7 linked regions of the Oryctolagus cuniculus genome follow. The protein of the gene in region 1 interacts with the protein of each later gene in a pairwise test. Links are inferred from orthologs where the notes say so. Each region holds a gene or a part of one and is shown in the gene's direction. Other genes may lie near its edges.

The links.
Region 2: the proteins of CEP76 (region 1) and DZIP1L interact in binary tests that used the Homo sapiens proteins (3 or more experiments, as listed by UniProt). The link is inferred for Oryctolagus cuniculus from reciprocal best matches to the Homo sapiens genes CEP76 and DZIP1L.
Region 3: the proteins of CEP76 (region 1) and C21H22orf39 interact in binary tests that used the Homo sapiens proteins (3 or more experiments, as listed by UniProt). The two-hybrid records come from large-scale screens. The link is inferred for Oryctolagus cuniculus from reciprocal best matches to the Homo sapiens genes CEP76 and C22orf39.
Region 4: the proteins of CEP76 (region 1) and PARD6B interact in binary tests that used the Homo sapiens proteins (3 or more experiments, as listed by UniProt). The two-hybrid records come from large-scale screens. The link is inferred for Oryctolagus cuniculus from reciprocal best matches to the Homo sapiens genes CEP76 and PARD6B.
Region 5: the proteins of CEP76 (region 1) and THRA interact in binary tests that used the Homo sapiens proteins (3 or more experiments, as listed by UniProt). The two-hybrid records come from large-scale screens. The link is inferred for Oryctolagus cuniculus from reciprocal best matches to the Homo sapiens genes CEP76 and THRA.
Region 6: the proteins of CEP76 (region 1) and CABP5 interact in binary tests that used the Homo sapiens proteins (3 or more experiments, as listed by UniProt). The link is inferred for Oryctolagus cuniculus from reciprocal best matches to the Homo sapiens genes CEP76 and CABP5.
Region 7: the proteins of CEP76 (region 1) and TTC21A interact in a two-hybrid assay, tested with the Homo sapiens proteins (2 studies listed by BioGRID). The two-hybrid records come from large-scale screens. The link is inferred for Oryctolagus cuniculus from reciprocal best matches to the Homo sapiens genes CEP76 and TTC21A.

The regions. Positions count from the first base shown.
Region 1 is NC_091441.1:69,554,529-69,558,028, reverse strand, and holds part of CEP76 (centrosomal protein of 76 kDa), read left to right. Parts: intron 1-522; coding exon 523-708; intron 709-2,228; coding exon 2,229-2,326; intron 2,327-3,500. UniProt on the Homo sapiens protein: Centrosomal protein involved in regulation of centriole duplication. Required to limit centriole duplication to once per cell cycle by preventing centriole reduplication.
Region 2 is NC_091435.1:143,615,615-143,619,114, forward strand, and holds part of DZIP1L (cilium assembly protein DZIP1L), read left to right. Parts: intron 1-2,725; coding exon 2,726-2,859; intron 2,860-3,500. UniProt on the Homo sapiens protein: Involved in primary cilium formation. Probably acts as a transition zone protein required for localization of PKD1/PC1 and PKD2/PC2 to the ciliary membrane.
Region 3 is NC_091452.1:27,283,293-27,287,507, reverse strand, and holds the start of C21H22orf39 (synaptic plasticity regulator PANTS), read left to right. Parts: upstream 1-1,415; 5' UTR 1,416-1,579; coding exon 1,580-1,606; intron 1,607-1,722; coding exon 1,723-1,890; intron 1,891-3,871; coding exon 3,872-4,000; 3' UTR 4,001-4,215. UniProt on the Homo sapiens protein: Negatively regulates long-term potentiation and modulates adult synaptic plasticity. Stabilizes the interaction of RTN4 isoform A/Nogo-A with its receptors, inhibiting clustering of postsynaptic AMPA receptors at synaptic sites.
Region 4 is NC_091442.1:10,162,053-10,166,130, reverse strand, and holds the start of PARD6B (partitioning defective 6 homolog beta), read left to right. Parts: upstream 1-1,278; 5' UTR 1,279-1,595; coding exon 1,596-1,661; intron 1,662-4,078. UniProt on the Homo sapiens protein: Adapter protein involved in asymmetrical cell division and cell polarization processes. Probably involved in formation of epithelial tight junctions.
Region 5 is NC_091448.1:22,366,864-22,370,799, reverse strand, and holds the start of THRA (thyroid hormone receptor alpha), read left to right. Parts: upstream 1-1,136; 5' UTR 1,137-1,277; intron 1,278-3,936.
Region 6 is NC_091449.1:9,860,622-9,864,121, forward strand, and holds part of CABP5 (calcium-binding protein 5), read left to right. Parts: intron 1-1,935; coding exon 1,936-2,045; intron 2,046-3,500. UniProt on the Homo sapiens protein: Inhibits calcium-dependent inactivation of L-type calcium channel and shifts voltage dependence of activation to more depolarized membrane potentials. Involved in the transmission of light signals.
Region 7 is NC_091441.1:108,219,845-108,223,344, reverse strand, and holds part of TTC21A (tetratricopeptide repeat protein 21A), read left to right. Parts: intron 1-2,068; coding exon 2,069-2,166; intron 2,167-2,301; coding exon 2,302-2,502; intron 2,503-3,141; coding exon 3,142-3,271; intron 3,272-3,500. UniProt on the Homo sapiens protein: Intraflagellar transport (IFT)-associated protein required for spermatogenesis. Required for sperm flagellar formation and intraflagellar transport.

The DNA.
Region 1 (3,500 bases):
CAGGCAGCTTGACCACTGTACTATAATGCCCGCCCCTCATAAATTTTGACATTACAAAAGTAAGTTACATATTCACATCTAAACTTCGACTTTCAGGGGCAGGAATTTAGCCTGGTAGTTAAAATGCCAGTTGGGAAGCCCACATACCATATCAGAATGCCTGGGTTTGTGTCCTGGCTCCACTCTCGAGCCTAGCTTCCTGCTAATACACCCCCCTGAGAGAAAGCAGACAGTGGCTCAAGAAGTTGGGTTCCTGGGGCTTATTAATCTATTTATCAAAAAGCACTGATATGGTTTAAGTAACTAGATTACTTGACAATTCCGCCAGTTTTCTCAGAAGCTAGTGATGGAACTAGGAGTGTACTTGTATTCCCAGGCTTGTGATATGCTTTCTGAGATATTACCAAATTAATTCTATTTAGTTTCATATATGTTTATTATTTAGTATATTTTTCAATAAAAGTAGTTTTATGTTGGCCTAACAATATGTAATATGATGTAACCTTCTGTTTATATTGTCAGGTGATGGAACTAGAATGGCTGATTCAACAACAATGTTGTCAATAAGTGATCCCATCCATATGGTGCTAATCAAAACAGACATATTTGGTGAGACCACTTTAGTAGCATCCTATTTTCTGGAATGGCGATCGGTTTTGGGCTCAGAAAATGGAGTGACCAATCTAACGGTGGAACTAATGGGTGTAGGTATGATGATTAGTATCACTGTTATCTTTATATTCATAATTTCTTCCAAAATTCATTTTCTATCTTTAAAATGGCTCTTAGACCAAGAGGAAAACCTATAAAACAGAATTTCACTGGAATTACAGTTGGTTTTCAGTCCAGTTGTAGTCTTGGGGAAGGTCTCAAAGAATAATATTAGTGTAGCACCTCACAGCCAGAGTAGCCTTAAAGGGAAAAGGTTTTTTTCTTTTTCAGGAAAGTCAATATAAAATTTTGAGAGTTTAAATTTTTTTCAAGTGCATTTTATTAAATAGAAAATGATAAATAAGATTTTTTGATACACACACATTACACATGCACCTAAAAAACTTCCTCATTCCAGCTTGCCCTGGAATTCAAATGCATCTCCATGAGTACTGATAGTTCTTGCAGAATGTAGAATAGATGTTCTCTAGTGAGGCTTGGAAGAGATGGCATCTTACTCAATGTCAGTATTAATGAATTACATTCTTTGAAAAGAAAGATTACATCTATTTTATTTACCACTGTCATCTTAGAATCTTTCAAACTTCCTGCTGTATTTTTGCTAATAAAATTAAAAAGCAAAATTTACTAATATTTAATGCCTAACATACAGTGGAATTTCTTTAATATTGAAACCTAGTCACAGAGTTAATTCTGGCCAGTGTACAGCATAGCCTTAGTTATTTAAATTTTATTATGTAAGTCCTGGAAAGTGGTTTTCCTTAAATAAAAAGAAGAGAAAAAAGTTTATTTATGTTTAGGATATTTGCTTTCAAAAAGATATTTGTTTGTTTCTAAAAATGGGCCTAACATGAGAATCACAGCAATGACTCAGAAATAAACTTGTACTGATTCACTAAAAAATAATAGTCTGGGATGAGGTATATTTTCTGGACCCTTTAAGTCCAGGTGTATATTGAAAATTTGTACTTACATGTGAATATAAGGGAAGGAGTAAATGGGGGTGAACGGGAGCTACCATGTGAAGGCTCCTAAAAGGTTTATGGAAAATGCATGTTAGGAACTATGCATGGATTTCACTTTTGTTTTGGCACCAAAATAAACTTATCTTTTAATTTCATTTTTCCATGAGTTTTTTGAAGTATCCTCATGTCAGACAGAGGATACTTTGTTGTTTTTGTCCCCAGAGAAGATGGGATGAGGTGTTAGCAGTTGCTTTTATTTTGTATTTAATGTAAATCTGGTGATATTATGCATTTATGGACGTTAAAAATTAAGAATTTCATATCCTTTAGGTCAGAAAATTTCCTTAAAATGTTTATTAGAAATCCTAAGAACATAATTAATTTCATTATAACTAGATGAAACTTTGTACAAAATAAAAACTAATTTGACATTATTTTTTAATATGACTATTAAAGGGAATGTTGAATTTTATTTTTATCCATATAAATAGTAAATCACCAAATTCCAAATTATTTTAATTATGCTTTCCTTGACTAAAATATACATAGTATTAAACTTCTGAAGTTCTAAATATTTATTTATATTTATAGGCACAGAATCAAAAGTTTCTGTGGGAATTTTAAATATAAAACTTGAAATGTACCCACCACTCAATCAAACCTTATCTCAAGAAGTAGTGAACACACAGGTAAATAATCCTGAGTTTTCCTTCTTTGTGTATTTGTTCTCATAGAAGTAGTTTTACCTGTTGATCCTAGAAATACTCTCAGGAAATTAACCAGATTACTTTTTAGAATAGCACTCAAAGATTGATGAAAGGAGTGAGAAAGAAAATTTTAAAGACAATTATTTTTCTAGGGTTGTCTGCTCTAGTTTGGGAAGCACAATGAGCATTTACTGAACACAAGAACTACAACATTAGAATTATAAAGCTGGCGGGGATAGAGCAGTATGGGGACAGCATCAGTGGAGGGGGTTGACCTCAGGTTGTTTTTACTCTGTATTCTCAGCATTTGACACTTCTGGAATGTTTATAGAGGCTTTCTTTCCTAATTCCCCTGTCTCTGAAGAATTACTTTCTTCCTGGGTCTTGTAAGATCAGCAGGTCTTTTCATCTCTGTTTAATTCTGGCCATTCTGTAGTTAGCAGGTTACAATTACTAGCTGCTTTGTTGGGATGGAATGATTCTCCTGAATTAGAAACTTTGGTCCTGACACTGTATCTTCACTCCATTCTGCCTCATAGTGTTTTTTTTTTTTTTTTTTTATGGTCCTGTAGTTACTTAGTGTTAGACTGCTAGTGCTTCTTCCCAAGGCAAGCAATATCCTGTCCTATTTTCCTGAAACTTCCTTTCTTCCTGTTACAAATTGTTCCTTTAATCTCTTGCCATCTGAACTGTGGGTGACATACATGTGTTATTTTTAGAAAGTTGGTGGAAAAATGGAATTAATTAAGTTGAAATTCATGTATAATTTTTTAATAATATGCATTTTTCATGATCTTGTTGAAGACCCTCATATGCATGGATTTCAGAATTTTTTGCACCCAAATAAACTTATCCTTTAACCCCATTTTCTACTAACTTTGAAGTATCCTTGCACATTTGAAACCATATATGAGAAACTTTGATATTACTCAAGTAGATAATCAAATCCATATGTGTACATGCATATACGTGTATGAATTTTAATCATGTTACTTATATAATACCTAAATTTTAAACATTTGGGTTCTTTTTTTGATGTAACTATTTTATTGACAAATGAGTTCTTAAGCTTAAAATTGTTTTTTAAACATTTTCTCGTGTTTCTTCTGTGATCCACTGAAGTATAAGTTTGTTGTAGTTCTGATATATAAAGTTT
Region 2 (3,500 bases), on another chromosome or scaffold:
TTCTGGGGAAGCTCTGTGTTGCGTGAGGTCCTCAGGTGGGGTGAGACCCAGCTCCTCAAACCGGGGATGCAGGGTTCTAGAGGGGAAGGGCCTGAGGGGCCTGGGTCAGAGGGGTCCCGGCGGGGTCCCCATTGCCGTGGTGGGGGTCTCACTGGCTCATCCTCCTGGGCTGGGCCTCTTCCCACACTTGTCCACCTCGCCCCATCCTGGGCCAGCAGGCAGCAGCGTCCCTCGGCACCTGGTTAGAAATGCAAAGGTGCAGCCCCACCCTGGACAAAATCAAGCAGAGATTCTGGGCCGTGACCATCTACATTTTCATCTGTATCTATTATTTTTTAAAGATTTATTTATTTACTTGAAAGCGTTACAGAGAAAGAGGGAGGGACAGAGAGGGAGAGAGGTCTTCTATCCACTGATTCACTCCCCAAATGGCCACAATGACCAGGGCTGGGCCAGGCCGAAACCAGGAGCCCGGAGCTTCATCCAGGTCTCCCCCGTGGGTGGCAGGGGCCCAAATACTTGAGATGATCACTGCTTTCTCAGGTGTGTTAGCAGGGAGCTGGATCAGAAGTGGAGCAGCCAAGATGCACAAACCGGCGCCCATATGGGATGCTGGTGTCGCAGGGAGTGCTTTACTCGCTATGCCTCAGTGCCGGCTCAGTGACAGCCGCCACAAGGCCAGTGACTCTACTGCTGGGCGCACATTGAGAATCACCCAGGGAGCTGCTGACTGTCTGGAGGGCCCCTCCCCCACGCTGCCTGCCCCAGAGAGCAGGGTGCAGCCAAAGTTGAGGCAGTCGCCCTGGGGCAAGCTTGCTGGGCTCCACCTGCTGAGTTAGGAGTTAGTGACTCAGAAGGCTTGGAATGGGGCTCTCAAGTCACCAGGAGATGCTGACACTGTGGCTGTTACCTGAGGACCTCAGCCCTGGAACAGCTACTTCTCAGGCATGGCTGTTTGTGAGAATACACGGGGAGTTTAAACAGTAAAGTATCAAGGGCTGGGGCCCACCCTCAGGGACTCGGAGGTCACCAGCCTGGGCAGGGGCGCAGGTGCTGCAAGCCTGCAGCCAGGCTTTGGACGCCAGACTCCTCTGTGAGTGCCCGGTGGCCAGAGAGCCTCCCAGAGTTGCCAGCATCCCACACTTGTTCTGTAAACGTCTGTTGAGTGACAGCTTGGTGCCCCTCTAGCCCCAGGGGCCCCCATTCTACACCTGCGGAGCCCTCCCGGGAGTCATTCCAGATTCTTCCTGGACCACCCCCTTTGTAGCAGTCACGGTCATTGCTTGTTTTGTTGCCTTCTGGATCAGTGATTCTTTTTTAAAAATTTCTTTAAAAATATATTTATTTGAGAGGCAGAGAGAGAGAGGAGGAAGCTGAAGGAGGTGGGGAGGAAGAGAGAGAGAGAGAGAGAGAGAGAGAGAGAGAGAGAGAGAGAGAAACTCTCCTATTTGCTGGTTCACTCCCCAAATACCTGCAATAGTTGGCAATGGGCCAAGTCACAGCTGGGAACTCAATGCCAGTCTCCTATGAGAGTGACAGTAACCCAGTTACTGGGCCCATTACGGCTGCCCCCGAGGCCTGCGCTAGCAGGAAGCTAGAGTTGGGAGCCAGAGCCGGGTATTGAACCTTGGTGCTTCGATGTGTTTCCACTGCTGGCGCAAGCCCAGCCCCATGGATCTGTATTTCTTTCTTTCTTTCTTTTTCTTTTCTTTTCTTTTTTTTTTTTTTTTGACAGGCAGAGTGGACAGTGAGAGAGAGAGAGAGACAGAGAGAAAGGTCTTCCTTTTCCATTGGTTCACCTCCAATGGCCGCTGCGGCCGGTGCACTGCGCTGATCCGAAGGCAGGAGCCAGGTGCTTCTCCTGGTCTCCCATGGGGTGCAGGGCCCAAACACTTGGGCCATCCTCCACTGCACTCCCGGGCCATAGCAGAGAGCTGGCCTGGAAGGGGGGCAACTGGGACAGAATCCAGCTCCCCGACCAGGACTAGAACCCGGTGTGCCGGCGCCACAAGGCGGAGGATTAGCCTGTTGAGCCGCGGTGCCGGCCGGATCTGTATTTCTCGAAGCGTGGTCTGTGGCTCATCTCGCTCCGAATCTCCTGGGTGTGTTCAGATGCGGGTTTTAGTGCTCTTCCCCAGGTCTGTGGCATCACTGGGGAGGGTGGCCAGAGCACGCACATTTAAAATGCATGCCCAGGGGACTCTGGAGTCTGCTACTTTTGGAGGGAGAACCCTTGGTGCGGGTGGTAAGCTTGGGGCAGCAGAGATCTGTCTGTCTTGCCTGCTAATTTATCTTCTAAGCCCCCAGCTTGGCAGTGGGGTGAGGGCATTGGGTGCCTTAGGCAGAGGCTGGAGCTGGCAGCAGTGGGCCTTGGAATAAAGGGGAACAGAGCTGTGGGAACAGAGCTGCTGGGGCTCAGGTGCCAGCCCCAAAGCCCCACGTTAAGCTGTGGCCGGGCTGACTCCCATCTCAGGCGTCCACACTGGCAGGGCCTGAGGACGCAGAGGGGGCATGGGGCTTCTGAGTTCCTGGTGTCCAGGAGCTGAGACACCCCAGCTTCTGATCCAGGGCAGCACCCTCGGGAGGGGTGCTGGGCTCACAGGCCTGAGAGCGGGACCACGGGCGGTGTGAGTGAGGCCCGCAGGTGCACAGCACAGGTGGGCACGGGGCTCTGGGCATGGGGCTCCTGTGCCCGAGCTCACTGCAGTGGGATCTCATGCTGCAGAACCGGAGGACCCCCGGGAGGAGCAGCGGAAGGTGCTGGCGGCTCTGAGGCGGAACCCCACCTTGCTGAAGCAGTTCAGGCCAATCCTGGAGGACACCCTGGAAGAGAAACTGGAAAGCATGGGGATCAAGAGGGTAGGTTCAGGGGCCTCTGTTTGAAGGGCCGACCCCTGTAGTTTAGACCCAAGGTGTTGTCAAACTTAGAAGCGATGGACTCCTCTTTGCCTTGTAAACCCGTCCACCTCATTGGTTCCACTGCAGATGCTCGGTGTCCTGGAAGGAACCCCGCACACCCTCTCCCTCTGGGTCCTGGCAGAGGGGCTTTAATTGGCTCGGTCTGGCTGATGGACAGAGCCCCTTTGTGAGAAGTGTCATCTTCCTGTCGGTCACCTGAGGCATGGATGACCGTGCCTGCTCTGCAGGTGCCTGTGGGTGGGCAGGAACTGGAAGCCGAGTCCGGTTCCGGTTAGGATTGGACTGCGTTGTTCCTTTATGCTTGGATTTGACCAGAGCGTGCACGTGGTCGTTGAAGGCATCATGAAATCTATTCAGGAAAAATACACTTTGTTCCAGTAGCCAAACATCACATCACTGAACTTGCTCCCTGTGGAGAGGAAGCACGGGAAACAAGACATCTGGGTGTAATTCAGGATGGGGCTCACTGAACTTTGATTTCTGCCGCTGCTCACTCTAACTGCCGCCCCATGTTCAGATTTGACTAATGTGTTTCTAACCTCGAGTGAATCCTTCTCTTGTATGCAGGGGCGTCCTGGGAC
Region 3 (4,215 bases), on another chromosome or scaffold:
GGTTGATCCAGGCCAGCCAGATGCCCTGGCTGGGGCTCCTGGCCACACTCGGGAGAGGGGAGGTGCCCTCTCCAGTGTCAGTCAGTGAGGAGCAGAGATGGTCGCGCTGCTTCAGGCTCTGCCCTCTGGTGCAGCTGCCACTTTGTCACTGACAGCGGCCATTGCTGATTCTGGAAGGCATGAAGGCCTGCAGTGACCTCAGGGTCCCTAGCAGAGGTGGAAGCCCTCCTTGGTGGGTGGGGCGGCCTCCAAGTGCAGGATTGCATTGGCTGGCAAGTGGCCATTTTGTGCATAATGAGTGGAGGTAGGCCGGGCCCTGGGTTTCTGTTTTCACCATGCCACCCCTGCTGTGTGCATGCAATGAAACCCTCCCTTTTCCTTCCCTGGAGGCACAGTCCCCTTCCTGGGCAGGGGGAGACCCCACTGTTGGGCCGTTTAGTTTTGGCCCTGGATGTTACTGCTGCAGCTTTCCTCTCTGTCCTCCCTGGCACTTGGACAGTGAGGTAGCACGTCAACAGCCAGTCTCGTGGTAAAACCACAGCTTCCGGGGACCAGCGCTCTGGCACAGTAAGTGAGCCCCTGGCTACCCCACTTCTGATCCAGCTCTCTGCTGATGGCCTGGGAAAGTGGTGGAAGATAGCCTAAGTGCTTGGGCCCCTGCACCTGCATGGGAGACACAGAAGCAGCTCCTGGCTCCTGGCTTAGGTTCAGCCCAGCTCTGGCCATTGTGGCATGAACCAGTGGATGGAACACCTTTCTCTACGTAACTCTACCTCTCAAATAAATACATCTTTAAAAAACAAACAAACAAAAAAACCCACAGCTTCCCGAGCCACCTTCCATGTTGCTCCTGGGGTTTCCCCAGCCAATGGTTCTGTTCACAGATGTGGGAGACCCACAGCACGGGTGTCCCGGGGAGCTTCTACACGCCCGGCCCCTTCTGTACTTGGCCTCATTGTCTCTGTGCTGATGGCCCACGCCCTCAGGAAAGCAACCCTGGCCACCCCAGCTGTGCCAGACAGCCAGCTCCGGCCAGCTCTGATGGCCCTTGGTCCCAGGACATGCGTCACGCCCAAACAGCCTCGGTCACTTTGCGAGCGCCACTCTACCCTGAGTGGACACCATGGCGACACCACTGCAGCTGAAGACCTAGGGGGTCAGCTGGCGCAGAGTTGAGCTGTATGTGTTTGCAGAAATAAATCGGATCTTTGAGGTCAAGGAAGATAACAAAGCTGCCAAAAAGATCTGGCCTGAACCATATCCTTGCAGCCAAATCAACGTGGCTTCGCTGCCCCCAACGCCCGCTGGTCACCAGGCAGGTGCCTGCTGCCCGCCTCGGGACACGCCCTCCCATCCGCCCCCTGTGGGGACCCGCCTCTTCGCACGGCCCCGCCCCCGGCTGTGATTGGCTGTTTAGTACAGGCGTGCTGATTATTGGTGCCTTTCAAGGAGGCGAGCGAGGAGTTCGTCGTCGTATCTTAGAGTTATTGGCTCTTCTGTCCATCCATCAGCCAGCGCCGGCTTTCTTCATGCCTCATTGGCTGACGGGTGAAAGCGGGGATTTGGTAGTGGCCCAGACATGGCTGACGGCGGCGGCGGCTGGCAGGTGAGTGTGGTGGGGGTGTCGGGGACGCGCGGAGAGCTCGGCGGTCCCGGCGGCCTCTCCCAGGGAAGGGCAGGGCGGGGCGGGGGAGTCGCTGAGGCCTGGCCTCTTCGCCGCAGCCGCCGCGCCCCTGTGAAGCCTACCGCGCCGAGTGGAAGCTGTGCCGCAGCGCCAGGCACTTCCTGCACCACTACTACGTCCATGGCGAGCGGCCGTCCTGCGAGCAGTGGCGGCGCGACCTGGCCCGCTGCCGCGACTGGGAGGAGCGCCGCAGCGCAGAGGCCCAGGTGTGCGGACGGGGCGGGCGCCGGGCGGCCGGCCTCCCTCACTCCCTCCCTCCCCGCCCCGGCCTTGCCTTCTTGTGAGAAATACCCCCAGAAAAGTAGTCCTCGGACGGCGTCGGAGACAGCGATGGGAGGACCGCGCGGTGTACCCCACCGCGTAACCCAGGCCCGGAGCGGGGAGGGAGCGGGCTGTAGAGGCGTGGGGTGAGGTTGCAAAGGCGCCAGGGACCTGGTGGGCTTAGGCGAAGAGTTCGGAAGTTTCTCTCCTCAAAGTGTGCTGCCATACGAGCCAGCTCCCACACGAGCACTGGCTCCAGCCACCTGCAGCGCCAGCTCCCATACGAGCACTAGGTCGAGCCACCTGCAGCGCCAGCTCCCATACGAGCACTAGGTCGAGTCGCTGCTCCACTTCCGGTCCAGCTCCCTGCTAATGTGCCTGGGAAAGCAGTGGAGGATGGCACAAATCTTTGGGCCCCTGAACCCATGTGAGAGACCTGGATGACACTCCTGGCTTTAGCCTGGCTCGGCTCTGGCCATTGTAGCCTGCTGGGGAGTGAACCAACGGATGGAAGCCCTCTCTTTCTCTAAGTCTGTAATCTGACTTTCATATAAGAGAATCCAGGAAGGGAAGAAGGGAGGGAGGAAGGAAAGAAAATGAAGACAGTCCCTAAGTGAAAGGAAACAAAACAAAAGAGGGAGAAAGCTTGTAGCCTGTATGGCAAGAGATGGATAACATGTGTGTATGTGTATTTGAAAGAGCACTTTTCTATCAGTAAGAAAACTGGGTGGATTTTGGAATTTAAGAAAAAAAATGAGCAAAAGAAACAAAGAAGCAATTCACTGAAAAAAGAAACCAAATGTAGGCAGGTAGGCTAGTTAAAATGACAGGGAGAGTGGCTTTTGGCCAGCATGAAGTCAGAAGTGTGGATAGGGTTTAGTTAGTCCTGGCTACTTGTATAGTGCTGGTGGGGGTGTATGGTGTTCTGATGGCCCAAATGTCAAAGGCGTAGTCTTAACTTCTGGGATTTTATCCTGGGAGAGGTAAGTGGATAACATTACAGTTAGGACATTACAATCTGCATTGTGCCACTGTTTTTGACAGTACAGGAACTGAAAGTGACCCAAATTCCACTGGCAGACGTTCGACCAGATAACTTTTCCACACAGTGGGGTAGAGTCATGTCCCTGGGCGTGGGCACGGAAAGGTGCCAGCACCACATTGTTCAGGGAGAAGAGCTGGAAGTGGACTACTCAGCAGAGGCGCACCCCACCTGGGGGGCACCAGCGAGAGCGCTACTTTCTGGGTGTTGGTGAAGCTCGCTGCTCACCGCCACGTCCAGGGTGGATGTCTGGGAATCTTTTGTGTCCTCCTTTACATTGTTTACCACTTTGTAAATGAGAACAACAACAACAAAAAACATTTCAAACAATAGAGCTTGAATGCAGACAGACAGGTGGATAGGTGTACTCGTGTGTGTGATGAGGCCTGCCGGGCACCTGCCACCCACCCACCAGGGGCCCACAGTGGCAAGAGTCAGCCCGGCCATGACGCCCTCCCGCTGCGTGTGTGCTGGGCGACCACTGCCCAGGGAAGCTGCCGGGTTGCACAGCCCCGTGTCTGTGGTCGGGACTCCCCCTGGTCTTGTGCTTCATCTTCCTCCCTTCTGACCACACTTCCCCCTGCAGTGCCCCCGGCCCTCAGCCCAGGTGAACCTGCCCCAGACTTGACCAAGGCAACTGAAGCCACTGAGTCCTGAGACCCAGATGTTTTAAAATCCCTCATGTGTGTGAACATGGAGCACTTGCTAGACTATATTAGATGCAAGAGGCTGGCCGAGCAGCAGAGTGCTGGGTCCCATATGCCCCCACTTGTCCATCAGTGCTCAGAAAGGTGCTGAGAAGACGGGAGGCACAGGGGCCATGGGAGGGTGCTTGCGGACCATGAGGCCACGTGCGGGGACGTGACCAGGGTGTCTTTTTACAGCGATCCCTCTGTGAGAGTGAGCGGGCGCGGGTCCAGGCCGCACAGAAGCACGCCCTGGTGTGGACTCCGAGGCAGAGCCCTCCTGCAGACTGGCACCTCCCTCTGCCACAGGAGGAGAAGGACGAGTGACGGGCACCCCTCCACCCTCGGCTGGTGTGGCTTCATTGGATCTGTGACCAACCCCGTCTAGTGGGTCCTGCCTCCTCCCTCCCGGCTCGAGACACAGAGTGGGACGCAGGCAGCCCGACCTGTCCACTCTTCACTGCCTCAGCGCTCCCGCCACTGCAATGCTCTGAAAGTCAAGTGCACCCACCCCACAGCTTCCAGGAAGCCAAGCACTGTGG
Region 4 (4,078 bases), on another chromosome or scaffold:
CCTGACACACACGAACACGCTTTGGGCCCCTCTGCAGTAGTCTAGGGGGCTCTTGAGACCAAACAAGCCGAGAGCAGAGCCCCCGAACGAAGGCGAAGGGCGAGTTTCGCCTGCAGCTGCCCCTGGCCACGCGGGCGCCGAGCGGCACAGGTGTTTTCCCGCGGGGTGAAGAGGGCGGCCCTGCTCAGCGTGGGGCGGTTTCCACCTGCGCTTCCGCCCGGGCGGACCCACGGCTCCGGGGAGAGGAATTCCTCACCTTTGGACCCGGCTGGCCAGCAGACACCTCCCCGTCAGCTGGGCACCCGCCAGGGCGCGGCTCGGGAGGGGGCGGGGCCCGGGAGGGGGCTGGGGTCTAGGGGCGGAGGTCCCGAGGACGCAGGAGCAGCAGCACCCCAGGCATCTGCTCGCACAGGAGGGGGTCTCCACGGCATGCAGGGAGCCCCTTCGCAGGGCGGCAGGGCCCGGGGCTCCCGTCCGCGCCCCCCCAGGGCCCAGGCTAAGCGGGATCCGGAAACCCTGCGTGGACCCCCCCCCCGGCGCCTCAGGCCCCCTCGCTCCCCCCACCGACCCCTGGGGACCCGACGGACGGGTGGGGGCGGGCTGCAGCCGCCTCCCGCAGAGCCCAGCCCACGGAGCCGAGGCGCTCCCTCAGATAAGCGCGCAGAGGCGAAAAACCTGAATTTTGCGCACGAGAGTTGCAGCGGGACCCTAAAAACACGAAAGGGTGGGGAAGGGGGCGTTGTGAAGGGCGACACAACCCAAAGTCACAGCAGGGCGGGGGCCGAGCAAGCCACTCGGTGCCTCGGCCACCGATACGGCCGCGCGCCCAGTCCCCCGCACCGAGCGAGTGACCAGCGCGCGCCGAGCTGCGCCAGCCCAAGCGGCACCAAGTCCCGCGGCGCGCGCCCGCGCGTGCGCAGAAGGCACACCCGCCGGACTCCCTCCTCAGGTGCGCTTGCGCTTCCGGCCGGCCTTCTCTGGGCGGAAACTCGAGCTCCTGCGCATGCGCTCTCCAGCTCTCTGGCGGGGTCCAGAGAGGCGGCCCCGGGCTTCAGGTAATCCCGCCCCTCCCCCGCCGCGCGGGACCAATCGTGCGGCGGCGGGCGGGACTTTGTCGAGGGAGGCCCGCCCATGCGCCCCGCGAGTCGTGTTTCGATTGGTTGGCGCCGCGGGCGCAGGTGCGCGCTTCCTATTGGGTGTGGGCGGAGCGCGAGCGGCCGAGGCTGCTCCGGAGGCTGCAGGTGAGCGCGCGCACGCGCCGCGGCTCTGGCCCGGCTCGGGCGCGCGCGCGCGGGCCCGCGGGGGAGGTGGCCGAGAGCGAGGCTGCGGCGCTGGGAGCCTGCGCTCCGCCCTCTCCTCCTCCGCCGCCGCCGCCGCCGCGGGCCCGCAGGCAGGGAGCAGCGTCCGCGCCCGCCGCGCCGCCAGTGCGCCCCTCCGTCCCGCCGCGTGAGCAGCCCGCCCCTCTGCAGGTGCCTGCGCGGAGCGCCCGGGCCGCGGCCGCCCTCCGAACCCGCGCGCCCCGCCGCGCACTCGCTCCCCGCGCGCCCGAGGGGCGGCCGGTGCCGACGAGGCCGCCGCGGGGCCCGGCGCTCGACATGAACCGCAGCCACCGGCACGGGGCGGGCAGCGGCTGCCTGGGCACCATGGAGGTGAAGAGCAAGGTGCGCGGGGCCGGCCTGGGCGGAGCGGCGGTCGGGAGGCCGGGCGCCGGGGGAGGCCGCGGGCCGAGCCTCGGGGGCCCGCGAGGGCGGGGTGGGGGCGCCGGCTTCTGGTTTCCGAGGTGGGAGCCGTGGGGCGCCCTGTCCGGGGCAGGGCCGGAGGCGCCCGGTCCCCCCGTTCGGGTTCGAGGGGGCGAGCGCCCTTTGGGTTGCTTTGCTCCCGGCCGGGCGGATTCCTGGGGAGCCCTGGAGCGCGTTTCGTCTGCGGATCAGCACCGGCACCCGCAGCGCGTGCGCTGGGGTCTCCGCGCCGCCGTCCGCTGCCCGGGTTCCGAGCTGGGCCCTGCTGGCGGCCCGGGAGTCTCGCAGGCCCCGGTCCCGGAGGCGGGCGGCAGGTGAGCAGGTGGGCTCCGCGGGCTGCGCCTGCCGCGGCTCGGCGCTCCTGAGCGAGAATAATCCAGGCCCTGGGCCGTGCCAGCCGCGGCGGCTCGGAGAGACCCGGCGAGGCCGGAGCGCGTTGGAGGAGAACAGCGGATCGGCTTCCACAGTCGCGAAGCCGCGTGGACGGAAGGGGGCCGGGGGCACGGGGCCGGGGGGCGCCCGGCGGTCCCGATGGAAGCGGGCCGGGGGCGCGGGGCCGGGGGGCGCCCGGCGGTCCTGACGGAAGGGGCCGGGGTCGGGGGGCGCCCGGCGGTCCCGATGGAAGGGGGCCGGGGGCGCGGGGCCGGGGGGCGCCCGGCGGTCCTGACGGAAGGGGCCGGGGTCGGGGGGCGCCCGGCGGTCCCGATGGAAGGGGGCCGGGGGCGCGGGGCCGGGGGGCGCCCGGCGGTCCTGACGGAAGGGGCCGGGGCGCGCGGCGGTCCCGTCCCGCGGCTCTGCGCGGCTCTGCAGCCGGGACGCGGCGGGACGATGGTGTTTGGGCCGGGCCGGGGTGGCTGCTGGTCTCGGCCACCGTCCTGTCGGGGGAGTGCGGTTGTGATCGCGGCGCGGCCTCCGTGGGCCCCGGCGGAGCAGGGCAGGGATTCACATCTCGGGTTTGTGGGAGTTGAGGTCAAGAAAAGGCACTTGTGATATTGCATCACTCAAAATTCCGCTTCCAGGCCGACCTTGGTAGCAAGTGGCAGGGAAAAAATGAGTGGAGCTAGTAGGTGCGCTGCTGAAAGAAAGCAAACATTTCCTCCCGGCGCGGGCTGGCATGCCAGGCTCTCGCCGCCTCCTGTCAGCTGACTTGAGAATCTCCCACATACCTGAGGCCCAAACCGGGTGTTAGGTGTTGGCCTGCCGGCGTCCCGAGGCCTGCGCCGGCCACGAGGTGGAATCGGGGCGGCCTGAGACCAGGCGCCGGGAACTGTGGTCCCGCGAGGATGGGCAGAGCAGTGAGGGCCCCGGCCACCCGTGCCCCTGCTTCTCGATGTCTGTTGTTGATGTGTTTACTTCTGAATGGGTTGAATAAGCTGTTTGTCCTCTTAAAAACCTCTGCTGCGGGAGATTTTTGAAGCACATTTTGCTTTGGTGCTGCTTCGGCTTTCTGGGCTCCTGGGGCAGCCGTGGCTGCGGGCTTGGAGCCAGCACTGGAGAGCAGGCGGAGCCGTCTCAGGGTCCTCGGCCCCTGCCTGGACATCAGTAGTGTCGGCCGGATTACCTTGGCCTGGGAAGGGAAGAATGGTTACAGGTAATCAACATAGTGGACAGTGTCAACAAGCTGGTTGAATTCGTGATACCAGAAACCACGTGGCTTTTCTTTGGTAACTGATTTATCTCCCTAATTGTTTCTCTAGAGTTGGGGAAGTTCTCAGTACTGATGGAGGTGCCCTTTAGTAACCTTGGGACAGTCTTGGAGCCGGAACAGTTCCTAATTACTCACAGGCGAATAGGACATTAAAATTAAGTTGTCATTTCTAAAATGTGCCAGCAGATAGTGGGGGGCGGGAGTCTGACACATTGTGAATGGCTGGGAGGAACCAGGCCGGTTAAACAAAGCTGTGAATGGGTCCTGGAGTGGGGAATGGTTGCTTGAGTCTTGAGTCTGTCTCTTGGCAGCTCTCTTCGTGTGGTAAAAAGTTCTCTACCCTCTTGTTCTGCTGCAGGAAGCGTGACAGTTTCTCTAGTGTGTTTCCCCTGCCAGCATTTACAGAGGGCATATCTGACTTTGAAGCCATAGGGTTTCCCACTATTTTTATCAAATGAGTTAAGCAAGAGAAAAAGGTTGTTGAGCAAAGAATTCTCATCCACACACTCGAGCCGAAGCAGTGAAGCCCCCGAAACGTTAACCTCTCAGCTGTCGTTCCGGGTGGTGAGTCAGGCTGAGTGATAACCCGGAGACGAATCAGGACGCAGCGGCCGCCTGTGCTGTGATGCCAGCCAGGGAATGGGGGAGAAACTGTGACTTCTGATAACATCATAGACTGGCTGATAGGAAG
Region 5 (3,936 bases), on another chromosome or scaffold:
AACTGGGCTAATGACAGCGGTGTGGGGGGGAACCGGTGGGGCAAGAGGGGGTGCTGGGGTAATTAGACCTCTGCCTGGCACTAGGAGATCCTGAGATGAAAGGGGCTCTGGCGTCACTTGCATGGTTTTATGTCCATGCGTGCAGGTGTGTGTGTGTGTGTGTGTGCATGCGCACACGTACGCATGCATGCAGGGGGATGGGGCTGGTAGGAGACCATCCCTCTTTTGGGGAAGGGGGTCCATTTGGGTGTAGCCCACCCTCCTCCTCAGAGTGGCCTTGGTACCCTTGGATTTAGGTGAGGCAAGCATGGGAGGAAACACAGCTCTTGTGGGGCTGGCAGTGGAGAGGGTACAGCCAATCTCGCCCCCTCCCCGGGCTCAGCAGGGAGAGCAGACTGTTGGGGAAATGGCTGGTGTCAGTGAATAAAAGAGCCGACGTGGAGAAGGGTGGCGTTTGGAAGAGGAGGCAGTGGATCGGGTTTGGCTGTTAGGAATGAGAGGGGTAAGGGGGAATGTGCTCCCCCAGAGGATTAAAAACGGCGTGACTGAAAGTAAAAGGACCTGCGGGAGCACCTGCCCAGCCCTTGCAATTGGAGCTTGAGGAAGCTCTGGCCGGGCAGGCTGCGGGGATTTCCTCAAGGTCACGCAGGGAGTTACCGGCGGAGAAGGGACCCGAACTCCCAAACAAACTCCACTCGACCGAGCACTTGGCAGGCAGACTCTCCGCCCCGTTAACGCGGTGCAGGTGGCTCGTCCACGCTCCCTCCTCCTGCCCACGGTGCAAACCTCGAAAACCCCCCAATCCTCCCGGCAGGCAAAGGCTATTTTTTTTTTTAAGTGACAGCTTTTCCAAATATGTCACCAAGTACAGCTCCCGCCGGAGCCGCTTGCCGGAGTCCGAGCGGGGCGGGGGCAGAGGCGGCCGAGGGGCTGCCGGGCCGCTGGCCGTGGTCCCGGGGCGCGGCGTGGGGCGGGGGGCGGGCGCCGGCGGCGGCGAGGCGGCCTGCAGGGAGCAGCCGTGAGCCGGCCGGGCGCGCCGAGCCCGAGCCCCAGCCGGAGCGGGGCGGGGGAGGGAGGAGCCAGAGCGGCCGCCGCCTCTGCCGGAGGAGCCGCGGGGCCGCCACACTCGCCCCCCGCCCCCCCGCGCTCACTCGCACTCACACCCGGGCGCTGGAGGCGGGCGGCCCGGGCCCCACCGGCCCCCCATGGACGCCCCCGGCACGGGGCGCTGAGACCCCCGCGCCGCTGCCCAGCCCGGTCCAGCGCGCCACGCCGAGGTAAGGAGGAGGGAGCGAGGGGGCATTAATATGCAAATGCCTCGCGATTGATTATGCAAAGCCGCGGGTCCCTACGGCCGGCTCCTGGGCGGGCTGGGGGCGCCCAGGGGGTGCCCGCTGCCAGCCTCAGCCTTCCGCGGCGCCCAGGTGACCCTGTCACAGACCGGGAGCTTGCAACTGACGCCCCAGGGAAGGGAGGTGTTGCTGGGAGGTCGGTGGGCCCTGGGGTTCGCTGGCGGAGATGGCGTCTGGGCCTCCCCCTCGAGGGCCCGCCCGGCCTCAGTCCGGCCGGTCTGCTGCGCGTTCCCAGGCCGGGCCCCGCTGCCGGCCGCCCGAGCTCCCCCGCCCGCCGCGCCGCGGTTTGTTTACGGTGCTCCGGAGGCCTGCCCCCCCCAGCCCCCACCCCAGCCTCGGAGGCCGAGCGGCTGCGGAGGGCAGTGGGAGTGCAGTGGGGAGGGGTGGGCTTGCACCGGCAAGGGGAGAGAGAGACAGAAGTCCCTCCTCCCCTCACCCTCTCCCCAATTAAGCATGGCTCTCTGGTTGCAACACTCCTAATTGCAAAAACGCGGCTGGGGGGGTGGGGGTGGGGAGTGGGGGTTTGGGGGCGCAGTGGGGGCCCGTGCTGGCTGGCGGGGCTGAGAAAGAGAGGGAGAAACGGATCTCTGTTGTGCACCCCCCCTTGTCTCCCTCCCCTTGCAACGTGTCTCTGGTGCCCCTTCTCGGTCTAGGGCCCTCCCTTGTCCAGTGTGAAAGAAAGGCCTGGGGGTGGGGGGATGGCGGAGGCAACGGGGAGAGAGCTGCCGGCTGGGTGGGGGGTTGGGGGGATAGAAACAGAAGGAAAGCCAGTGAGATGGGAGCCTGCCCCTCCATGCTGGCTCCGGCCCCAGAAGGGGGAGGGGATGAAGGGGGCTGTTGTCCAAGATGAGGGGAGAAGCAAAGGTGACATACAGACACAGAGATATGCCCACACAGAACAGCCACATGCACACCCAGGGACACCCAGGCGGACTCAAGGACAGGAGCTGCTGGACACACCCACATGGGACAAGGAAAGAGGCAGGCTGCCGCTGCACTGTGGGAGCCCAGAGGGGCAGAACACACCCACGGGAGACCAGCAGCAGGCAGACGGACCCATGCACATGCCCACACGCAGGGTAACACAGAGATGCTGTCACCCACATGGGCGAGGGGGAGTTGCTGTCACCCACACAGAAAAAGTCACTATGGCATGCATGCATGCACACGGAGCAATTGCACACAGCCACACCGTTACAAAAGACCCTGTCACTCACAGGCACACACGTGCTTGCATGAGCACAGTCACGCAGGCATCATCCCCTGGCGTGACAGTCACTGTCACTCTGTCAAATGCAAGCACAGTTACACATCAACACATGTGTACACAACTTAGCAACAAGTATTTTCTTGGATTCTTACAGTGGAACTCGGAGGTTCTGTCGACAGCAAAACCGCTGCTCCTGAGTAAATGGAATGTGTGTGTGTGAAGAGATTTTTCATGCATCACGATACAAAGCATGCATTCCTGATAGCGCACTCGCTCTTGGTCATTCTGGCTTGTCAAATCACCCTACTGGGAAGCCGACTCCTTAAGACCTGGGAGAATCGCTTAGACAGCTCTGGATCCCACCCAGAGACTAGCATAGGGGCTGCTCTGTAAATACTTGTTCATTGATTGACTGTGGGCAGTGCGGACACAGGTGCACTCGTTGGCACGCAAGCCCATGGACTCAGGTGCACCGCACATTCACAAGGCTCGGGCCATGCTGTCACAGGTCCACGTGGACAGTGTGTCAGACAGCCCCAGGTGCACACTTGCTGCCAGCGCAGTCGGGCACACCTCCATGCCTCGGTGACAGCCTCCCTCCAAGCTTCCTCCTGTCTCCTTCTGGCATCAGCCCTTTGTGAGAGTGGGCGCTTTTTTTTCTTTTGGAGGGACAAGAGAAACAAGAGCAAAGACAGGGGGTGTAGGGGGGTTTCAGAGGGCCGAGTCATGGGCCTGAAGCAGTGTCCAGTGACTTCTAGCAGCTGGGATTGTCCTGGCTGCAGGGGTGGGGGTGGGGGCGTTGTATGGGGGAGAGCTGGCTTCCAGGGAGCGGCTCTCACCCGTCCCCTGAAAGCTAACAGGGGACTCCCACTGCCCTGCTGAGGATGATTTTCCTGGGGACAACTGAGTCCCTGCCTCCCACCGTGCGTCTGGCCCCTTTTCCCACCTTGGCCTTTCTGTCCAGACTTGGACGCTTTCCTTAGGAGGCCGAGTGCTGGCGAGTGTCTGCGTGAGTGATGTGTATTTTTGACTTGGAATTTCTCTCTAACTCTGTCTCTCTTTCTGTTGCTGTGTCCCGTGGTGTCTAATTCTCCCTCTCTCCTTGTTCCCCTGCCAGTCTGTTACTCCCTCTTGCCCCAGCGCTCCCCTGTCCACCCCTGTCCTTGTCTCTGTCTGCCACTGCCCCTTCCCTGGGAGCTGGGAACTGGCAGGGATGGTCTTCATACTTTTCCAGTTGTTAATACTCAAACTCCGGCCCTCTGCCCCGGCCCGCCCCGCCTCTGGGGTCAGCGGGAGGTTGGGGTGGGGGGCGGGGGGCTCAGCTGGCTGCTCAGGACATCCTGTGTTTCCTTAGTGCTGCCGCTGCACAGCCCA
Region 6 (3,500 bases), on another chromosome or scaffold:
AGGCTGGGGGAGGGTATGGAGGCTGACGCAGAGTTGGAGATACAAGGGGAGAAAGACCCCAAGGCTGGAAGAGACAGTTCTTGTACACTTGGGGAAACAGCAGGCAGCATAGGAAGTAGCTCAAGGGGTGACTTTCAGAGGTAAGTCTGGGTTCAAGTCCGCCTTCTGTTAGTTACTCCGCGTGGCCATGGCGAGTCACGTGGAGGCAGCAGGGTGAACATGCTCCCTCCCTGGCTCGTGGGAAAGTGGAGAGGAAGGGCCAACGTCGCTAACGCAGGCGAAGGCTCAGCCGCCAGTAGGTTCTGATCAAATGCCGGTTATCCTAGCACTGCAAGGGTTCGTCCGGGGAGCACAAGACTGGAGCTGTAGTGGGCGTTAGAAGGAAGCTTGGCACTGGACTTGCTGCTGGTGAACAGCGTTGCAGAAAGGGTGGTTTGTAGATGGAGAGCAGAGCGAGGACAAAGCTGGCATACGACTGGGGTTGGACTCCTCGTAACTGAGGGACCAAGGTTGAGTTCAAGGCGACCGCGTCTGCGGGTCTCGCACCCGTGGAGTCAGCCAGCCGCGGGTGGGAAACGTTCGGAAGCAAAGTGGCTTTTGATGTGCAGGATCTGTTTTCCTACTGTTCTCTAAACAACACAACACAGCAACACTGCTCAGCTAAGGGGCTGTGAGAGGTCTGGGGGTGACCTAAGGCTTGGGAGGGCACACGTGGGTTCCGCAGATACCACAGCACGGCACACCAGGGACCTCAGCAGGTGCGGATTTGGGTATCTGCGGAGAAGTCTTGGAACCACCACACCCCAAGACAGACACCGAGGGACGACTGTGCCCGTGTCTGGGAGAGCCTCCAGTGCTCCTTTTTTTTTATTTTATTTGTTTTATTTTTGACAGGCAGAGTGGACAGTGAGAGAGACAGAGAGAAAGGTCTTACTTTTTGCCGTTGGTTCACCCTCCAATGGCCGCTGCAGCCGGCACACCGTGCTGATCTGAAGGCAGGAGCCAGGTGCTTATCCTGGTCTCCCATGGGGTGCAGGACCCAAGTACTTGGGCCATCCTCCACTGCACTCCCGGGCCATAGCAGAGAGCTGGCCTGGAAGAGGGGCAACCAGGACAGAATCCGGCGCCCCAACAGGGACTAGAACCCGGGGTGCCAGCACCGCAAGGCAGAAGATTAGCCTAGTGAGCCGCAGCGCTGGCCTTCCAGTGCTCCTTTAACTGAGTGTGACTCTCAGCCAGTGAGAGCTTGGTTGGATAGGGGCTTTGTGTGGCGGCTGAGACGTGGCTTGCGGTGTCCGCATTCCATACTGGAGCGCCGGGGCTCAAGCCCCACCTCTGCTCCCGCCTGCAGCCTCCAGTCAATGCCCGGGGAGGTGGCGATGAAAGCCCAGGAAGCCGGGTCTCTGTCTCCCACGTGGGACACCGCTTTGCGTTCCCACCTCCCATTTCTGGCCTGGCCCAACCCCAGCTGGTGTGGGCCTTTGGGGAGAAAACCAGTGTACGGATGGGTAGTAGGTCAGTCGCTGGCTCGCTCACTTGTTCTCACTCTGTTCCATGCTGTCTCCCTTTCCCGTTCAAATAAAAATACTTCTTTAAAGAGAGCCAGCTACTTCCTGCATAGCACATCAGGTCCCCACTGGCTCAGATTAAAGGCACAGGAGGGCATGAGTTGGCTAAGTAGAAGGGGGTCAAAGGTTAAAAGCAGGGCAATGGAGACCAATAGATTTCTGGAACTGAGGCATTGGAGGGAGGGGGCATGTGTCACTGACCCCACCTCCTCCGTTCCCAGTGGGCGGGGATGGGAAGGGTCACTGACCCCATCTCCTCTCTCCCCCACAGTGGGCGGGGCGTGGGAAGCGTCACTGACTCCACCTGCTCCATCCACAGTGGGCGGGGCGTATTAAGCACCACTGACCCCACCTCCTCTGTCCCCAGTGGGCGGCCGTGTAGACTTTGAGGACTTCGTGGAGCTGATGACCCCCAAATTGCTTGCAGAGACCGCCGGGATGATTGGCGTCCAGGAGATGCGAGACGCCTTCAAGGAGGTGAGCAGAGATCCCGCCGTCGGCCATTCCCATGGACAGGACTTGCTTTCCAGCTGTGGCGGGATCGGTGGGGAAGGCAGTAACATCCTCCAGACACTCCAACAGCTGCGTGTTCTGTCTGACTGAACCCTCACCAGTAACGGTAGGAGTTCACGGTCACGTCTCCCTGCCATGCCAGTGAGGGAAACTGAGGCCTCAGGGGTTCCAGGGCTTCCCCGAGTCCCTGCGTCCTCCAAAGCGGGTGGCCGGGTGTCTAATGTGAGTGCTCCTGATAGGAGGGCAAGTCCAAGCATATGAGGGTCCCTGGAGGGAACTCGAAGGAGACCGCCTCGTTGGAGCCTCTTGCCATAGGGATGCTGACAGCAGGAGCTGGGTAGGGAGGGGGGTTGCCTCGATCCCTGACCAAGTCCTGCCCCCGGCCAGAGCCAAAATACAGAACAGAACCCAGCTTGGGCGCGAGGTCTCTGGAGCCGGGCACACGTAGGCTGAGACCCTGGGAGAGGTCCGCCCTGGGCGTGCAGATCCACAGCCGCGCCACCCTGCAGCACTTTCTGTGACCTGGGAAATGCTGGGTCCACGACAGCAGCCACGGCCGGCCGCGCGTGGCCACTGAGCCCCGCAGACGCGGCTGTAACTCGTTTCAGTGGATTTCAGTTACTTGTTTAATTTCCATGAATATCCCGCTGACCACACTCCTCTGTCCAAGTGTTCAAATGCAAATGAATGGTTGATTCGATTTGTAGGAAACTTTCATTTGAGACAACTCGGGTATTCGAATCCACCCTTTCAACTGGGAATTTCAGTTGAAATTCAGATCAAGCATTTCTTTTATAAAAATTATTCATTTGTTTATTTGAAAGGCAGAGTTACAGAGGCAGAGGGAGAGACAGAGATCTTCCATCCGCTGGTCCACTTGCCAAAGAGCCACAATAACCAGGACTGGGCCAGGCCAAAAGCAGGAGCCTGGAACTCCATCCGGGTCTCCCACGTGGGTGCAGGGGCCCGAGCACTTGGGCCATCCTCGGCTGCTTTCCCAGGTCATAGCAGGGAGCTGGATCGGAAGTGGAGCAGCCAGGACTCGAACTGATGCTCCTATGGAATGCTGGCATCACAGGCAGCGGGTTTAACCCTTTGTTCCTTGGTGCTGGCTCATCGGATCAAGCATTTCTGATCAAAATTTAGTGTCCACATTGACAAGTGCTGGACTAAGATTTAGTCCACTTAGCATAAGTGTATTTGTCAACTTAAGTGTGTTTCCTTGCTACGTGTGAGAGCTAAGTAGGCTAAGTACATGGGAACTGCTTACTGTGCTAAGGGTTATGAAATCCAGTGTGCATAATAAATAAATAAGTCATTAATTATTTTTAAATTCATTGCATTCTGAAATGATACATTTGGCTACATTGGGTAAAATAAAATCAATTATGAGAAGCTAATCTGAGAGCGGGCCTTTGG
Region 7 (3,500 bases), about 39 Mb from region 1:
GGGAGAGCCCCAGCAGTCAGCCAGAGGGAAGTGCAGTGGCCAGAAAACCTGTGTCACTCACCCCAGCCCAAGCCCTACCCACTCGTGTGCCTGGAGTCACCATCCTATCTGCTCGCTGTGGGAAAACTAGTGACCCTAACAGTTTGGGAAATCCGCCTGGCAACTAGCGCTCAGCGGTCTAGTCCTTTATTTGTAAATCTGCCAGCAGCCTGGAAGAGGGGCCGAGTGGACCATGCAGAGCAGTGGCCCTTGGAGCAGCAGAGGTGAGGCTGGGTGCAGAAAAGACTTTTCTCCTCCAAAACACCTGCAGTGTGTTTGGCCAAGCTTTTATGTCAAGTTGAGAACAGACTGCTATGAAAGAGGCACAGAGAACAAAAGAGCGTTGCTGAACATGGAAAACGTCATTACCGAGTGTAGAAGCCCGTGGGCAGGCCAAATAGTGGCCAGGAAGTAACTCACTCACCAAGGTGGCGATGAGGACAACAGTGAGGAGGCGTGAGTGCTCCCGAACACCCGGGAAATTATCTGTGAAACGAGTAAGAGGAACCGAGAGTGGTACTCTCAGCATCAAAGCGTATCACAAAACCACAGAGAGTAAGTCAGCCCGAGGCCGGCGCCTGTGGAATAAACAGACAACGAGACATGGAAGTCCTGGTTGCAAACCAGTAGGTTGTTCAGTGACTCCTGCTTGAACACCTGGCTTTCCATCGTAAAATAAAAAATGCATACGTATATATGCGCATGCAATTCCCTACCTCACACCATATTCAAATTCCAGGTGCATTAAGTATTTGAACATAAAATTAGGATTTTTAAACCTGATTACAGGCTCAGAAGTTGTAGAGGCAACTATTCTATCTATTTGCATAAATACTAGATGGTGATAGACAAGGTAAAAACATAGTTAAAATATAGGTGGGAAGCATGTAGAAAATGCAACACTGGTTCATCTTAGTAGGTCAGACAAAAACAGCACCCGAAAATAAAAACAAGTAGGCTATGAACAGGCAACTCACAGCAAAAAAGGAAAGTCTGTGAAAAGATTAGTATTCTCCCTAATAAAGATGTGGATTGAAACTGGTTCCTTTTCTGTTTCTAAATTGGCAAAGATCAGCCTGTGAATTTGTTGGGAAAGGACACTTAAAATTCTTGGCAATAATGTAAATTCAGATAACTCCAGAGAGCAAGTTGGCCTTATCTGTTGGTGATTAATTAAATGAGTTTTTTGAGAGGCGGATAGACAGAGTTCCTATGTCCTACTTTACTCCCAGGTGCCCACAATGGTCAGGGTGGAACAAGGACCAGGCTGGGCATGAAGCTGGGGTGCAGGAACTCAACCCAAGTCTTCCACATGGATGTCAGGAATCCAATTGAGCCATCACAGCTGCCTCCTAGGGTCTGTGTTAGCTAGAAGCTGGGTATTAAACCCAGGTACTCCAGCATGGGACATGTATGTCTCAGCTGTTAGGATAAACCCTTGTCTGCCCATCTGTATGCATATTAAATATGCATGCCTCTTGACTCGTCAGCTCTAGTTCAGGAATTAGAACATAGGAAAATACTCACCATGGCATCGTAATACAAAAACACTGTAAACAAGCTAAATATGCAATTGTTAAATGGTTATATCCACAGAATATTGTGTGTATTGTCAGTAAAGAGAATGGGGTAGGCTTGTATGAAGTGATGGGAAAACAAGTCCATCATATATAAAGTTGTAAGGTGGTATATATGCACTTTGATTGCCATGTGTATGCACGTCTTGAAACCATTGGTAGGCTCATCTGTGTGTGTACGTACATTAATAACATATACTTAAAACAGTGTTGGAAGGAATAGCCCCCACATGCTTACTGGTGGTCACCTGTAGAGACAGAATTGTTAAGCCAGAGGATGAGCTGGAGTTGCTTTTCTACATTTGCCCGTATGATTTGAATTCTTTCCTTTGCGGGTGTTTCACACTTTGAGAAGACGCTGGGAGAGATCTGCCCTGGGACACCTTCCTTCCTCTGTCTCACCCGTGTCCTTGACCCTGTGGGCTGCTCAGCCTCGTTCTGTCCATTCACAGGGATCATCTGGTGCCAGATCTTGGAGGGCCACCTGGAAGAGGCGGGGCACCAGCTGGAATTCCTGAAGGAGGTGCAGCAGTCCCTAGGGAAGTCGAAGGTCAGCACTCCCGGGGGCGTGGAGGGCTCCGGGTCGTGTCCCCTGCCCTCTTCCCACTGCCCTCTTCCAGCAGGGAACAGCCGAGGTGGCCTGCGCCTCCACTTTGCCCCTGAGACTCGGGCCTCGCTTCTGCAGGTGCTGGTTTTCCTCCAGGCTCTTCTGGCCTCCAGGAAGAGCAAGGGGGAACAGGAGGTCACGGCGCTGCTCCAGGAGGCCGTGGAGCTCCACTTCTGCGGCATGCGAGGCCTCCCCATGGGCTGCGAGTACTTTGAAAAGCTGGACCCGCCCTTCCTGGTCTGCGTGGCGAAAGAGTACTTGCTCTTCTGCCCTAAGCAGGTTAGGGAAGGGTCCATCTTCACGGCAGGGCTTTGAGGTGCAGGTTTGGATAGGGCACAGTCCCCAGGCTGGAGTGGGGCTGGGGTGGGGGAAACCAGTACTCTTCAAACTTGAACGTGTGGCGCACAGATCAGCTGGGAGGTGGTTGTCCCAGTGCAACTGCTGACTGTGAGAGCCTCGCAGCCCTGACCAGCTCCCAGGCGATGCTGATGCTGCTGGCCCAGGGAGCACCCTTGGAGGAGGAGGGTGTTGGCCTCTACCCTGCCTTTACCCTGGATTAGAACTTGGCTCCCCATTTTTCCAGAGCCTTCTAAGGTATGTGTTCATCTTGACTTGCTCGTGCCACTTTCTAGGCCAGTTAAGGTCCCTTGTGGACAAGGACTGTATTTTCATGTGTCTTGGTAGCCCCTCCACGCCTCACAGCGCGTCGTTCAGGTATCTGCTGGGTGCTGTACCCTGTGCCAGACATCACCCTGGGTACCAGGGAGACGAGAGTGAGCAGAACAGGGTCCCCATTCTCTGGAGCTCAGGCTCTAGGAAGAGCGGGTCATAAACTAGTGTGGGATAAAGCAGGAGCCCTGCCTCGTGAGTGTCTCTTAGAGCAGCAGACCACACAGCAGGTCCCCTGTGCTCCCGCAGCCCCGGGCACCCGGCCAGATCGTGGCTCCACTTCTCAACCAAGTCACCGTGATCTTGACTCCTGTGGTCAAGGCAGCACCAGCTCTGCTCGACTCCATGTATGTGATGGCTCAGATCAAGTATCTCTCAGGTAAGCCAGTGGATCCTGGAGACCAGGCAGGGTTGTGTCTTCTCACAGCCCTGTTCGTCTGCTCAGGCACCTGCTGGGATTTCTGTTCGCTCATCCCCAAATCATTGTCCACAAGATGTGTCCACAGGCTTCCTGTCTGGGATATTTTAAACACAGACTGCACAGAGACACAATGGGCCTCTTACCAGGCCTGCCTGCTCCTTCCAGCTTCCAGTCCCCCAGGGATCTT